Linked DNA regions of Pelodiscus sinensis. The protein of the gene in region 1 purifies or fractionates together with the protein of each later gene. This does not show direct contact. Links are inferred from orthologs where the notes say so. Each region holds a gene or a part of one and is shown on either strand. Other genes may lie near its edges. The genes, in order: ABL2 and RIN1.

Evidence for each region.
Region 2: the proteins of ABL2 (region 1) and RIN1 purify together in Homo sapiens (co-immunoprecipitation; 3 studies listed by BioGRID and IntAct, counting the BioPlex papers as one, with this or other methods). This does not show direct contact. The link is inferred for Pelodiscus sinensis from reciprocal best matches to the Homo sapiens genes ABL2 and RIN1.

Annotation. Positions count from the first base shown.
Region 1 is NC_134719.1:59,803,455-59,811,215, forward strand, and holds the start of ABL2 (tyrosine-protein kinase ABL2), read left to right. Parts: upstream 1-4,683; 5' UTR 4,684-4,876; coding exon 4,877-5,051; intron 5,052-7,761. UniProt on the Homo sapiens protein: Non-receptor tyrosine-protein kinase that plays an ABL1-overlapping role in key processes linked to cell growth and survival such as cytoskeleton remodeling in response to extracellular stimuli, cell motility and adhesion and receptor endocytosis.
Region 2 is NC_134721.1:32,368,609-32,376,402, forward strand, and holds the start of RIN1 (ras and Rab interactor 1), read left to right. Parts: upstream 1-4,538; 5' UTR 4,539-4,869; coding exon 4,870-4,895; intron 4,896-5,033; coding exon 5,034-5,235; intron 5,236-5,851; coding exon 5,852-5,966; intron 5,967-6,132; coding exon 6,133-6,205; intron 6,206-7,309; coding exon 7,310-7,401; intron 7,402-7,794. Other genes in the region: BRMS1 (breast cancer metastasis-suppressor 1), read left to right, coding at 383-422, 625-757, 1,545-1,662. UniProt on the Homo sapiens protein: Ras effector protein, which may serve as an inhibitory modulator of neuronal plasticity in aversive memory formation. Can affect Ras signaling at different levels. First, by competing with RAF1 protein for binding to activated Ras.

The DNA.
Region 1 (7,761 bases):
CCAGATATAGCAACAGATTTATTCTGCAGCATTTCCCATGCACAAGGGATACATCAAACAAACAGCCCTGTCAAACCACACCGGGGATTAGGATGACATCTAGAGGCTGTTGCATATACTGTAATATAGAACATCCAAGAATGCTCAGACAACATTATTAGCTGAACATTTTAATTTCTCTTTTTGGAACAGAGACTGCATGCAGTGTTTGTGACCAGTGGACCATTGTCAGTATTTGGGAAAAGGGACTGTGAAATTTATGTATGGCAGATACTTTTAAATTAGTAAATAAGTGCTTCTGGCAATGTCATATTTCACTTTAAAGTTTTTTTTAAATCTCAGTTTTATCTTGGCTTTTTGGTAATTTTTCTCCTGTATCCCAAACTGCTTATATGTCAGAAAACTCATTGGAAGACAGAAATTGTCAGGACTAAGTTTTTTAGGAGGCCTTGTTTATGGATATTGCCAAACCTTTTCAGATTAAATTAGCTTTATATAACAACATATTTATGATACTATATGAGGCTAGTAACATTACAGTTGATGATAATAATTATCATTAATATACATTTTCCTCTTCAAAGCACTTTGAAAACATTAAGTAACTTATACTCTAAGCACTCTAAGGATGAATAATGATTAGGCCCACTTCAAGGATAAGAAGAGGTGTGGCCAATGGGAACACCATGATAAAGTGGCAGAAAAATAATTATAATTTAAGAATACTTATTCATATTCTCATTCTGGCTCTACTAGATTATTAAGAAGCTAATTGCCTCATCAACCCAGCACTTGCTACCCAAGTTACAGTGATACTATTAAGAAGCTAATTAGGCACAATATATTGCATGGTTTTCAAGTATTATATACATTTTATCTATCTATCTATCTATCTATCTATCTATCTATCTATCTATCTATCTATCTATCTATCTATAATAAAATAGTAAACACTTTGAAAATATATTAAATGGGCTGTTATCATCTCGATCTGACTCCATCTCAGTAAGAGGTTTCTGTGCTGTGGCTCCACGTCTTGTGGCATCAGCATATTACTTAACACAAGCTAGTTATGCAAAGATATCCTGTGATGTCATGAGATCTAAGGAATAAAAATTCTGTTTTAAACAAATAATGCTGGATACCCTTCTGGACCCCTCCTCCTCCAGAAATAAATCTCTCTCAACATTGGCATATTCTTTTAAAATACTAATAAACGTCCTTTGGAAAGTGCTCTGAGATCTATGAATGAGAGGCAGTAGGAAAGCTGTTATTGCTACTAATTTTAAAGTGGGGTTCTACTCTGAAATGTGACTCTGTAAATGTCAGTGTGGAGTTTTAATTTTTTTGACTTGCAACAATTCTCATAGCAAATGTGTTCAGTTTACAATTAAAAGATTTTTTTTAACTACCAGCCCTGCACATAGAAGATCTGAAAATAAACTTGATCTTTTTTCCCTTGTCACATGTGCCATCACCAATAAAAGATTCCACAGGCCAACAAATACCTGGACTGTCCTATTATCTTCAAATTCTGACCTCTTTTCTACCTGTGCAACCCTTTGGAAGCCAGAGTCAGTGACTGGATGTTGGTAAATAGAATCCAGCTCACTCGGTTATCTGTGTTGTCTCTTCATGCAAATTGAAGTAAAACATACATGTTATAATCTATATATCTATATATATCTTATTACTTTAGGCATATGTTTATCTCCCTCTGTATATAAAAAAAGTTTTTCCTGCCGTGCAACTGAATTACATCATCAGCCTACTTGAAAGTGAAGTCTCAGCGTCTCGCTTACTTCTGCTTCAACCAGAACCAACTGTGAAACTGAGATCTGTCTGTACATCTGTCTATAACATTTAGTATGTGAGCAATAGACCAATTAAGTTTTTCTATACATCTTCATTTGTTCACTTCTATATAATCAGTGCAAGTTTAATAGGCTCTCTGGAGTTGGCGAGCATAGCAAACATGGGGCACAGCCCCTCCCGTGTGTGTGTATAAAGCATATTCCAAAGGTTATAAGATTCATCTCCAGTAAACACACAAATAGGACCAGTTTGTTAAGTTAGAAAGTGCTTACATAGTCACTTTTTAAAATACCTGTACAACCACCTTTTAAGAAGCAAGAAGCACTGAAATAACATTTTAGGCAAAGATAAAATGAATTATTTTGCATCTTCATTTCAAAATTGCTCACTTCCAAATAGGAATGGGCTAAACTGATCTGAAAGATATTCAGATCTTTCCAGTGTAAGAGGTCCCAGACTTTTAAGTGATATAATTTAATTTTGAATTTGTTCTAAGTGAATCATAGAAACTATGACTGTAAGTTTAATATGAATAATAATTAACTGTGTCTTAATTTAGTGTAGATAGTCATATTTAGCTCTACTCAAGTTTCTTCTCTTGTGCCTATCAACATGGCATCTGGGTACTTTCCAGAAGTTGAAGTGATGTAATTAGCATCTCTCATGTGTGAATCTCTTTTCCTCCCTTCCCTGCTCCCCAGGAGGAAAATTGTGAGAATTATTTTTAAAAATGTTTTTCATTTATGTTTTGTAAATATTTAAGTGTGCCTACACTTGGAATGGAAAGTGCTGAAATTTTAAGTCATTCTTAGGTTTTACAGTGGTTCATTGCACAATCTTCAACCAGCCTCTAAGAAAATGCTTTCTCTTACATAAATGAGCTTTCCCCTTGTGCCTCCCATCCTGCCAGCTTTAGCCAAATGAAAAATAAAGGGGAACAGCAAAATTTGAAACAAAACCCCTCTTTCACAGTAGTCACTCCCTCTCCTCCTTTTGTGGGCTTTCCATATCTATTAGTTTCCATACTTTCAAATGCTTACAGTTTGTAACTGGAACATTACTTAATATATTTATGTAACCGCAACGCTTGTTGAAAATTTGTCCATTATATGCCTCAGTATAATTTTGTGCTTAATGTTAAGATGTCTGTTTTTATTAGTGATTATTTCTGTTAAGGTCATGATAGAAATGTAGCCGTGTTAGTCTGGGGTAGCTGAAGCAAAATGCAGGACAATGTAGCACTTTAAAGACTAACAAGATGGTTTATTAGATGATGAGCTTTCATGGGCCAGACCCACTTCCTGGGTCTGGCCCACGAAAGCTCATCATCTAATAAACCATCTTGTTAGTCTTTAAAGTGCTACATTGTCCTGCATTTTGCTTCTGTTAAGGTCATGGTGGGGAAATCACATTTAATTTCTCATATAATCAGGGTACGCTTTCTGGGTCAAACATATGCCAATTTGGAATTTTTAGACCTTTTGGGATATAATAAGTATTTGCATGACTACTAATGAAAATTACATTAAAATTGACCAAATGTTGAAAGGAAATGAAAAAGTAGAAGAGGACCCCCCCTTTGAGAGTGTAAGGGTATGTACATATTCTACAGCAGTATAACTGCGATCATGCCACTATAGTGTAGACACTTACTACAGTGATGGGCAGGGCTTTTCATTGCTTCTAAATAAATCCACTCCCTCAGAGGAGGTAGCTAGGATGAGGGAAGAATTCTTCTGTTGACCTAGCTGCATCTACAGTTGGGATTAGATTGACCTAACAGCATCACACAGAATATGACATTTCTCACAGCCCTGAGCGATGGAGCTAGCTTGACCTTCACTGTAGGTTTAGCCCAGGCCTAATATTATGAAATGATCCTATGGCATGCATGGTGAGCAGTATTTCATGTATCTCAGTCAGATTTCTACAGAACAAGGGAAGGGCTTGTGTTCACAAAGAGCATTTATGGGACAGGAGAGAAACAGGGTAGTGCTGTGGGGATAAATAACAGTAGGTAGTGGAGAACACCGAGCTGTCAAGCAGACAGTGGGGGATAGTCAGGATGACACTGTAGGTGGAGAATGGGTGGAAAGGCAAGAGGGGGGGATGGAAAAGGGGGTTAATTTAATCGGTGTGGGCTGGGGGTTCAGGGGACCCAGAGGAGGATGGCAGGGGATGGGCAGGTCGTTACTAGGCAGTCAGGGGATAGTGCAGGGTGGGAAAAGGGTTGGCAGGGGAAAGGAGAGATGGGGTGTCAGGGAGGAGGCGGGAGGGGTGTGTGGTTGCTGGGTGATGTCAGGGCAGAGGTAGGTGGGCTGGGCGTTGCTAGGTGACGTAGGGAGGGGCAGAGGTGTCAAGGAGGGGGCAGCGGAGGCTGGGTGATGTCAGGGCGGGGTCGGGCGTTGCTAGGTGACGTAGGGAGGGGCAGAGGTGTCAAGGAGGGGGCAGCGGAGGCTGGGTGATGTCAGGGCGGGGTCGGGCGTTGCTAGGCGACGTAGGGAGGGGCAGGGGTGTCAAGGAGGCGGCAGAGGAGGCTGGGTGATGTCAGGGCGGGGTCGAGCGTTGCTAGGCGACGTAGGGAGGGGCAGGGGTGTCAAGGAGGGGACAGAGGAGGCTGGGTGATGTCAGGGCGGGGCCGGGCGTTGCTAGGCGACATAGGGTGGGTAAGGGTGTCAAGGAGGGGGCAGAGGAGGCTGGGTGATGTCAGGGCGGGGCCGGGCGTTGCTAGGCGACGTAGGGCGGGGCAGGGGTGTCAAGGAGGGGGCAGAGGCGGCTGGGTGATGTCAGGGCGGGGCGGGGGGTGGAGCTGGCGGTGGCAGGACACCCTTGGAGGACCGGAGGTGGGTCTCTAGGAGCCGCTCTGTCCCCTCTCCCGCAGCTCTGTGGTTAAGATGGCGGCGGGGGCTGAGGGGGCGAGTCCGTGAGTCCCAGGCCGGAGCGCGGCGGGCTGGGGCGGGCAGCCCTGTGGGGAGCCCCGGGCCGCGGGCGCAGGAGGCCACCGGCAGCGGAGGCGGCATGTGAGTGAGGGCTGGCGGGGGCCCAGGACGGCAGCGCGGGGATGGGCCAGCAGGTGGGCCGCGTCGGGGAGCCGGGAGCCGGGCTCCAGCAGCAGCCGCCGCCGCCTCAGCAGCCCCGGGGAGCGCGGGGGAGCAGCGCGCCCAGGCCCGCGGGCCGCAAGCGGGAGGCGGCCGGGCGCGCGGCGGAGAGCGGCTTCAATATCTTCACCCAGCACGGTAAGGAGGGCGGGGGCAGCCGCTGGGCACGGGGCGCCCCGGGGGACCGCCGGGGCAGGGTTTGCCGGGGAAACGAGAGGAGGGGCCGGGGGGAAGGCACCGCGGCTGCGGAGGGACAGTCGGGGGCAGCCGCACCCCGCCCCTCCCCCATCGCTGCCTGCGAGGGCACGTGTGGGGGGCAGCCCCATGCACCCCCTTTCCCCATCGCTGCCTGCGGTGGCGTGCGGCCTGTGGGGGGAGGGGACTGGCGCGGCTCCCCGAACGGTTTCTGCCAGAGCGGGGATGGGGAGGCACGTAGGGTCGGGGTGGAGGGTACATCCAGGGCTCTATGTGCCTGCACAATCAGATTCCCTGGAAGGCGAGCGATGAGAGGATGCTTCCCTTCTGAAGTCCACCACCTACAAAGCTCTTATTGCTACAGAAACTTCCACCCATTTGCCTAGCTGCTGTGTCAGAGGGCAGTGATTTTTTTTTTGCTGTTTCCTTATCGGTAAGGAGGTGGCTTATGGAGACAAATATGAATAAAAAATAGACACAGAGCGAAGTACGCTATCTACCTTTGCAACACCTCTGTGAACTTCTTTGGGATGAGCCCCACATAGTCAGACCTTTGTCTGTTCCAGGGGATAAGTACTGAACACGTTTCTGACTTAGTCTTGCCCTTTATTGCTGACATGGCTTTCTCATTACTAAGGATCTATGGAGCAGGCTGTTTTGTTCTTGGCATGGCTGTAATAGTCGGTACATCAGCTGACTTAGCGAAGTCCAAATTTGCCCCCTCCTTTCACTTTACAGTAATAAAAATACTGACTATGAAAGTGAGGTTACAGGGGGGGAAAAAAGATCCTCTTAAAAAGCCAACCGTCTCAAATACTGTACCTTTATAATTTTTCTGTGCCTTTTTTGTCCATTATAATACACTGGAAGGTTGAAAAATATGGTAAACAAAGTAAGAGTGCAAGGAGCTGAAGTGTAATGGTGGTGCTTTTTGTTGTTGTTTTAATTTGAAGACCTGAATTTGCTACTGAGAGCATTATCGATTTTTATTTCAGCTAAAGCAATCATGTTCCAGTGTTCATGTGGCAAAACTGCTTCTGACAACTTAGCTCTTTCTGAGCCCAACAGAGAGTGCATATGCATTAAGATACTGGACTGCTGCTGGTTACATGTTTTTAATGTAAAGTCATCCCCTATGACAGCTGACTTGCACAGCTTAGTAAATCAGTGATACCTACCACGTGGCAGAGACAGTGTGTAACCTTCAATATAAATTCACTTTCTAAATATACATCATGTATTGATAAGATTCTAAACAGTTTATGAACTTCAGGACATTGTCAACTTAAAAAAAAAAAAAGTAGCTTCTTTCCACAAGTCTGCTGCTGTTGCTGAAGGTTAAATTCAATAAAAAAGATTAGAGAGGAAAATATTCAGTTGGATCTTGTATTGACCCAGTGCCAGTGTATAGTCAGTTTCACTATTTCCTCTGTACAGTTAATTAGTTTTCCTTATTTGCGTGGGTCTTTCACACACCATCAAAAGAGAAATTATTAAAAGTAGGAAAATTACTGCAAACCCTGAAATTGACAGGGAGACTTGGGGGCAGGTGTAGTTAAAAATACCAATGCTTCAATTTCATGCTGAAACCAAAAATCTTTATTTCCCTGGTAGAGCTGTTATGAAAGACTGATGTCACAGTCTAAGTTATCCCTTTAATAACAAAGTACCTCTCCTTGGTGTTTTGGTAGCAAAGAAGGATAGTGATAACTTTGTAAAGTATAAGAGGCAGTGCTGGTCATAGAAAGCAAATTCACAGGAAGTACAGTATATTATACTAGATAACTAGAAGATTACCCAGTGCCAGTGTTGCTGGGGTCTTTAACTCAATTAATTTTGTTCAGCTAAATCTGGGGTGGGGCTGGGAATGGGGGGTTCAGGCTGCATTAGGGGGAGTGGACAGCCCTCTCACTGCAGCAGTGTGGAGCCAGGTGAGAAGTGCCTGTCCATGGCCACTTCAGCTGGGGGAGGTCCAGGTCTGCCCCCTGTGCTCCCCAGACACATTGAGGAATGCAACAAACTGTGCACTTCTCCCTGGCTCCCAATGAAGGAGAACATCCAGTAACGTTCCTGTATGAATGGGGGGATCCCAGCAGGGAGCTGGGCACCCAGGCTGCTGGATTCAATGCGAGTTGGGACCAAGCAGTCCCAGCTCGCTGCTCCTCTGCATTTTAAATGTCGTGACTTTTATTACATTTAAAATGCAGAGCAGCAGCATGGGTGGCTTTGCAGCTGGCTGCTGGAGCTACCTCTGCTGCGGTTCTGCACAGTAGCGCTTATTCACTAATCTTATAGTTGATACAAATTGTATTGACTATACGATTAGCCAGATAATTGTGTTTTAACGTCCTTAGTATATTGCATTAGGAACTAAAGGCCATACCTAAGTTTACGGTCCTGTTGTGCTAGGTTACATACACTGAGTAAAAGAGTTCATGCCCCAGAAAACTTGCCTGAACTGCCAGAAGGGGGAGAAAGGAAAGAGATCTTTCTGCTGTTGTGGAGTTGAGCCACAAGTTATGTCCCCTGTCACTCCTCTGCCCAGCATCAGTTCCTGCTCTCCCAGGCTCTGACACTGATGTCTTACAGAACTAAGGAGAAAGGGAGTATGAAATTGTCAGCCTCATAGCAGAAAAGCTGGAGATTGGGCATT
Region 2 (7,794 bases), on another chromosome or scaffold:
CACCTGGAAATGGGATTATTTTCTCATCTATTCTTTATATACCCTTTTAAAAAGTCACCATGTGCATAGCTGGAAGTCAGGACTCCTGGGCTCTGGGAGCGGATCATGAGGTCTGGTGGGTTAGTGTGATAGGGAAGGTGGGGAAACAAGACTCATGGGTGGAGAATGAGGGCTGGAAATCAGGACTCCCCGGTTCTGTTCACTGCTGCTGAGTGAGTACCTTACCTTATGCCTCAGTTTCCCCATCTGTATGTCAGGCTAATGCTGCCATCCTTCCTGAGGGAACAGCATGGGTGGGATCCAGATAGCTCAGTGAGCAGCGGTATGGGGTGGAGTGTGCTCCCTGCATAAGTTTCTCTAATCATCTTGACTCTCCCTACAGGCTAAAGCAGCCGTGTCCCCCCAGAAAAGAAAAGCAGATGGTAAGAGCTGGGCAAGGGATGAGATATGGGGCCTTTTTCTCTAGGGGCACAGGTTCCAGTCTGGCCTCTGGTGTCCCCTCGTGTCTCAGCCAGGACATGAGCCAACTTGGCCCTGCAGCTGCCATCTGCTGCCAGCAGGGCCTATCCCCATATGTAGGGGCTGCACCAGCCCCCCTACCATTGACCACCGCTCTCCCCTCAGTGCTGGTGAAGGTGGAGAAGCCGGGAGCCCAGTTCTCAGCGCGCTGCGAGGACGGGCGACTGCATTACGAGGGTGAGATCTACAGCAAAGGGCAGAGTGTTGTCCTGGAGGTCGGGGACGAGGCGCCTGCGCAGTGAGTGGCCAGGAACTGGCTGGCTGGAGGGTATGGGGCACGGGGCCTTTCCCTTCTAAGCGGCACCAGCAAAGCCATCCCATCCATAGGACGGCATGGAGCGGCCATCCCAGCCCCAGGCCATGGGGGCCTCAGAGTGATCCAGGGAATTGCCTGGAGGCCTGGCTCAGGGCAGCAGGGGGTCATCCTCCCACTCACTGTGATGGTGGAAGCCAGAGTGACCTGGCAGCCTGCTCTGCTCTATCCTGCTGCCCTCTGCCAACCCGCTGAGCTCTGGGCATGTGATAGCCAGAAGCAGAGCGCCCCAGCCACAGCGGGCTGGAGCAGAGGGGGCTGCTGGGTGAGCTGTGTTACACCGCTGCTGTGGTGAGCGGTGTGTTACGCCTGCTGCCGCCTCGTCCTAAGCTCCCAGCTAATTCCCTGGATCACTGTGGGACTCAAACCCTCAATACCAGGGCAAGAGGAGGTAGAAGAGTGTGGGGTGAGGGCAGAGCTGGGGTGATGCTTGGAAGGGTTAAAGCTGTGGCAGGGCCTGGGATGGGGAGATTTGCTCTGGGTTTCACCTCTGGGGTATAGGGAGAGATGGTACTGCCCCAGGCCCCATTCCCCCTGGGAATGGCCCTGGGCACCAGCTCTGATCCAGCCCCAAGGCTGGCTGGCTCGGGGTAGGGAATGGGATACAGAGCCTTTTCCCGAGACGGGGTCTGGGGGACCCTGAATCCAGCCCCAAGGTGGAGAGGACTGACTGTCCTTGGGGGGGCTGGCATGACCCCTCTCTCCCCTGCAGGGCAGTGATCACGGCTGTCAGCACTGGGGAGGTCTGGCTGCGCCGGGAGGATGGCACCAAGACCAAAATCTACGTCTCGCAGCTGCAGAAGGGCAAGTACTCGGTGCGCAAGGCCTGAGTGGGGCTCAGCCCTGCGGCTTGGCACAGGCCTCCTCCTGGACACAAGGGCCCACAGCTCGTCTGCGGTGCAGCGAGGGGCTGGGCGGAGGCTCGGCTTGCTGCCCCCTTGCACTAGGACCCAGATGGAGAGGACTCTGGGGCCCTGCCCGGTGGAGTGTTCACATGGCCAGCGCTCCCGTCACAGATCCCTGCAGACAGACCAGCACGAGGCTTCACCGCTCGCTTCCCTCGCTAGGACTCTGGTGTTTGTAGCAATCTGGGGGGCACGTAACTCCCTGTGTCCGGGGCTGTTGTGCCCCACAGGGAAATAGGGATGCTGGTTCCAGGGGCTTCTGCAGGAAAAGCCCTGGGTCTTGACCAGCTCCCTGGAAGTGTTCACATTAAAAACTAAGCGAAACATGCACAATCTTGGCTCTTTGATTCATTTCAATGTATTCTGGGGAATAGGGATGAGCTGGCCTGGGGGGTGAGTGGGGTGTCTTCTGTATCCCTTTGAGGCACAGAATGTTCCCAGCACCATCCCCTCAGCTACGTGCGCTATCCCTTGTCTGAGCCCTCTAGACCTGCTGGCCACAGTTCCTTCAGGGCGTGGATCGCTTTGGTGTCAGGACCCTCCCTGACTCCAGCCTGTGCTGATTCTGGGACACACAAGTGGCAGCACCTTTGGGACCCTCCCAGTCTGCACTGTTGTCTTTTCTCCAGCCTCCCTTCCCTTTGGAAAAGAGAGCCACCTCCGCTCTGTCCCTGGCCAGATCCTACTGCTGGGAGCTGCTCACATGGGTGACAGTCTGGGGGGCCTTGTGTCTGAGCCACACCTGTTCTCATCTAGGCCTCCCCCAGCACCCTAGTGCAGCTGCCTGCACCCTGCCAGTGCTCAGCAGAGCAAGAGGGAGCACAAATGGGGGACCCCTCTGCATGAGCTGTACCCCAACTTCACAGGCCCTGGAGGGGCTACAAGGGCATTGGGGTGAGTGGGGCTGGGTCACAGGGGGGATCTGGCACAGAAGTGGGAATCCTGCCCTGATCTTGGTTCTTCCCCATGTTGGACTCTCAAATCCTACTGGTCCCTCCCCACAATGGGGCTTTCGCCTGATGCCCCATGAATTGTCTAGAAAACTGATCTCCTGAATCCCAGCCTCACACTACCCTTCCCATGGCTCAACCCCCTTCTCTGCTGGCCCAGCTGTTTGGGGTCTGGGAGCCAGAACTCCTGGGTTCTAGCCTCAGTTTTAAGAGCTCTATGGGGTCAAGTGGGACAGGAGCACTGGGATCCAGAACTCCTGGGCTATGTCTACGCTGGCGGGTTCATATGCAAGAACACGTCTTTTTGCGCAAGAGTGTCCATGGCAGTGTGGACACTCTTGTGCAAGAAAGCTCTGATGACCATTTTAGCTATAGGGGTTTCTTGCACAAGAAACCCCTGCTGGATGTCCACACTGCCCTCTTGCGCAAGAGGGCTTACACTTATTAGAAAAGAGTGTAGCTCTTGCGCAAGAAGCCCTCTCTTCCCACGCTTTACTGTAAATCTTCTTAAGCAAGAGCAGGCGAGCCCTGTGGACGCTCTGCAGAAGAATGGCTGTTATTGTGCAAGAACCCACCAGAGTAGACAGCCTTGGAGTCTCTCCTCAGTTTTGGAAGGACTGTGGAGTTCGCTGGGTTGGGGGAGTGCTGGGAGCCAGAACCCCAAGGTTCGGTTTTGCAGCTGGCTGTCTAACAGTGACAGAGCCCTCTCCCTGGTTTGTGCCTCGGTTTCCCTTCCTGTATTGGGAGCCATTGTGGTCTCCCTGGAGAGGGGAAAAGGCATCTGCAGGGCTCCAGGGTGGAGGATGGGGACAGATACAAAACCCAAGACAAAGTAAGACCTGGGGAATGATGCCCAGGGCCCCTGATGTCCAGGGTGGCCAGGCAGCTGCCAGGGTTTGGCTTGTGGCCTGGACATGCTCAAAGCCCAGCACATGTGAGTCTGACATGGGAGTGAAGGGAATAATAGATTAATAATGATGCTGAAGGTAGCAAAGAGGTTATGAGAAGGGGGCCCTGCCAGGGCCTGCAATGGGGGCCATTTGGATGGGAACTGGGAGAATGGAAGAGGACACTGGGGGCTCTGCCCGGGATGATCTGAGATGCCAGCTCCATTCATATCAAAACTTCACTCCTGGTAAGATGGGAGCACAGCCCAGCAGTCAGGATGGGGGGAGGAGGGGAGAATCTGGCTTGGTTCTGATGGATTTTCCACCTGTGGCTAACTTTCTTTGTCCCCTGGCTCCTCCTTCTACTGTCCTGGCTGCTACCGACTGTCCATACAGCCTACAGCCCTCGCATTGACCTTTCTCTCCCAGCTGGAAGAGTAGAGTCTAGTGCTTAAAGCAAAGTGCTGGGAGCTAGGACGCCTGGGAGCAGAGTGGTGTCTAGTGGTTAGAGTTGGGGGTGGATTAGGAGTCAGGACTTCTGCTTTCTGTGTTTAGCTGGGGGGTTGGAATCCAGTGGGTTCGAGCAGATGGGCTGAGAACCAGCACTCCTGGGCTCTGTGTCAGCTCTGGCTTGGGCAGTATGCTTTTCCGGGCCTCAGTTTCCCCCTGTACAAAAGGAGTGAGCTGGTAGGCTGGTGAGTTGTGCCTGCCCCGCTTGCCCTGGGGCTGGCTGGCTGATTAGATCTGCGCCCCCGCACGGGCTGTGCCAGCCTAGAGAGCTTTGCCTTGGGAACGTGACTGCGGGGGGGGGGGGGGCGTCTATCCCTGCCTGGGGCTGGCTCCGCCCGGTCCGGGCCTGTGCCATGGCTGGGTGTGACGGTGAGTCACAGCCGACGCGCATTCCACTGCTCCGGGCCAGGTTTGGCTCCCACGGAGCCGGGGCACTGGCTGTGGAGCCGATACCGGGACGCAGCTCTGTGTGCAGGGCTCCCTCGCCCCTGCCTCCCGCTATAGACCGCGCCGCGCCCCACCCCAGAGGCGGCTGCATCTCAGCGCCCCGCCAGGGCTCCGTGTCGCGTGGAGAAGCAAGTTCCCAGCAGGAGCCACGTGGGTCTGAGTCTTGCCCTTCCTGCTCCTCCTGCCGCCTCCCTCCCGGGGCGTTTCGGGGCTGGCGCAGGCTGGGCTGGGCTGCCCCGGGCCCGGAGAGCTGGTACCAGGGGAAGGGGGCGGCCCGCTGCGCCTCCTCTCCCTGGCAGAGGGAGCCTCGCACCTCCGCAGCCTGGTCACCCGGCCAGATGGAGCCCCCGGACCAGCCGCACGGGTATGGCCGAGGGGCCTGGGCCGGGAGGGGCGGGAGCCAGGACGCCTGGGTTCTGCCCCAGCTCTGGGAGGGCGGGGGCGGGGGTGGGGAGCCGCGACTCCTGGGTTCCTAACTCTGGGCTCCCTGCGCTCCTCACAGCCCTGCCTCCCCGCTCCGCCTGGCGCGTGACCCCGTGTACGATGTCCCGGCGCCGCACGTCTGCCCCCAGCCCAGGCCCGCACGGGGGGCTCCGACCAGCGTCAGCCTCCGGGATCGTCTGCTCCTCACCCAGCCCGTCTGGCTGCAGCTGAGCCTCAACTCCGCCACTGCCCTGCACATCCTGCAGCGGGAGCCGCCCGGGGTGAGGGGAGGGGGCTCTGCCCTGCTGGGCTGAATGCTGAGGGCAGTGGGTTCATGGGTCTGATGGGCGGCACGCTGGGGAGTCCAGGGGTCTGATTTGGAGGGGGCACACTGGCTGAGCCCATAGGTCTGATTTGGAGGGGGGCACACTGGGTGAGTCTATGGGTCTGATTTGGAGGGGGCACACTGGGTGAGTCTATGGGTCTGATTTGGAGGGGGGCACACTGGGTGAGTCTATGGGTCTGATTTGGAGGGGGCACACTGGGTGAGTCTATGGGTCTGATTTGGAGGGGGCACACTGGGTGAGTCTATGGGTCTGATTTGGAGGGGGCACACTGGGTGAGTCTATGGGTCTGATTTGGAGGGGGGCACACTGGCTGAGCCCATAGGTCTGATTTGGGGGGGCACACTGGGTGAGTCTATGGGTCTGATTTGGAGGGGGCACACTGGGTGAGTCTATGGGTATGATGTGGGGGGCTCCCACACTGGATGAGCCCATGAGGCTGACGGGAGATCCCACATTAGGTAGATCACTGGGGCTGAACAGGGCCCCGGTGGATATGGAGTCCACAACTCCTGCATAGCCCCTGCTGTGAGGTGCTCCCTTCTCACCCCAGACGTTCCTGGTGCGCCGATCAAACACACGCCAACGCCGGGCCCTCTGCTTGCGCCTCCTAGATGACCTGGCACCGGCCTTTGTCGCCAGCTACAGCCTGCAGGAAGGACCAGCCGGTAGGGATGTGCGCCTTAGGGTTAGCTGTGTGCCTGGTGCCCTATGGAGCCCCCCACTCCCTGCAGCATGGTGCCCCTGGCACAGCACTGGGCCAGTAAGCAAGTACTGACTTCCGGGGAGAGCGCCTCTCAGCACTGCAGGCTCTGAGGGTCCATGTCTTTGCAGGAGTCTCCCTGGAGGGCTCATCCCGGAGCTTCCCAGACCTGCTGCATCTGGTAGCCTCCTACTGCCAGAGACGGTGAGTGGGATCAAGGGGAACACTCTGGCTACATCTACACTGGCCCCTCTTCCGGAAGGGGCATGTAAATTTCATGAGTCGTCGTAGGGAAATCCGCGGGGGATTTAAATATCCCCCGCGGCATTTAAATAAAAATGTCCGCCGCTTTTTTCCGGCTTTTAAAAAAGCCGGAAAAGAGCGTCTAGACTGGCCCCGATCCTCCGGAAAAAGTGCCCTTTTCCGGAGGGTCTTATTCCTACTTCAAAGTAAGAATAAGAGCCTCCGGAAAAGGGCACTTTTTCCGGAGGATCGGGGCCAGTCTAGATGCTCTTTTCCGGCTTTTTTAAAAGCCGGAAAAAAGCGGCGGACATTTTTATTTAAATGCTGCGGGGGATATTTAAATCCCCCGCGGATTTCCCTACGACGACTAGTGAAATTTACATGCCCCTTCCGGAAAAGGGGCCAGTGTAGACGTAGCCTCTAAGATCTGAGCTCCAGCCTTCCCCTGCTCCCAGGGGACTAAGATCCTGTAGTGCAGTGCTCACCAACCAGTAGATCAGGATCTACCGGTAGATCTTGGTGCCTCTGCCAGGTGATCCTGACTGGTTTGGCGGGGAGGCTGTCACGTGCCGGTACTTCAACTGTTCCTCCCCACACTGCCTTGCTGCTCCTGCCCAGAGCCTCAAAGCTGCCCCCTGGGAACCTCCTGCTTGTTGTGCAGAGTGGAGGAGACAGAGGCAGAGGGCGCTGATGTCAATCTGTCCTGCTCCCCTGTACCCCATCTTGACAGAGTAAGGAGGGTGGGACCTCAGGAAAGAAGTGGGGCAGGGCCTCGGAGAAGGGGCAGGGCGGGGGTATTTGGGTTTGAGGTAGATCCCAGACTCACTTAGATTCAAAAAGTGATCTTGTGCTTAAAAAGGTTGGCAATCCCTGGTGTAGTGTCTGGGGCAGTGGGACTGGGGGAGGGTTATGGAGCAGAGGGAGTTGGGGCAGCTCTGAGGCAGAAGGGGATTGGGGAAGAGTCCTCAGGGAAGGGGGGATGGGTAGAAGGGGATTGGGAGGATGCCGCTGGGAGAGGAGGGAGCCCTGGAGTTGCTACTGGAGTCTGATACACTGTCCCCCTAGGGAGGTTCTCCCTGTGGCCCTGCGCCTGCCCCAGCCCATCCAGCAGGCGGTGTCACACAAGGAACTGGAGTCCATTTCCCACCTGGGGCTTGGTGAGTTGATCCCCCCCCCACACACACATCTCTCTTCCCCCATCCCCTGCCCCACATCTTGCTGCCCCTGCACTCCTCTCCCTGATCCTTCTCCCTTCAGGCCCCCTGGTCCCTCCCTCCCCACCCTCTGTCCATGCCTCATTTCCACTTCATCACCTCCATCCCCACAGCCATTCCACTTTCCCCATCACCCTGCACTCCCCATATAGCTGGGAAATCCCTCCCTCCCTCTAGTTCCCCTTCTCTCCCTCTAGCCTGGGCTAGATTGGAGCCAGCGCCCCCTAGAGGGGAAAGCCCTACCCTCCCCCCCCCCCAGCCAGCCAGGGCCCCCACCTTGGGATGGATCAGAGCCAGTGCGCTCTGGAGGGGGAAGGCCCCATGTGCTCTCCTCGG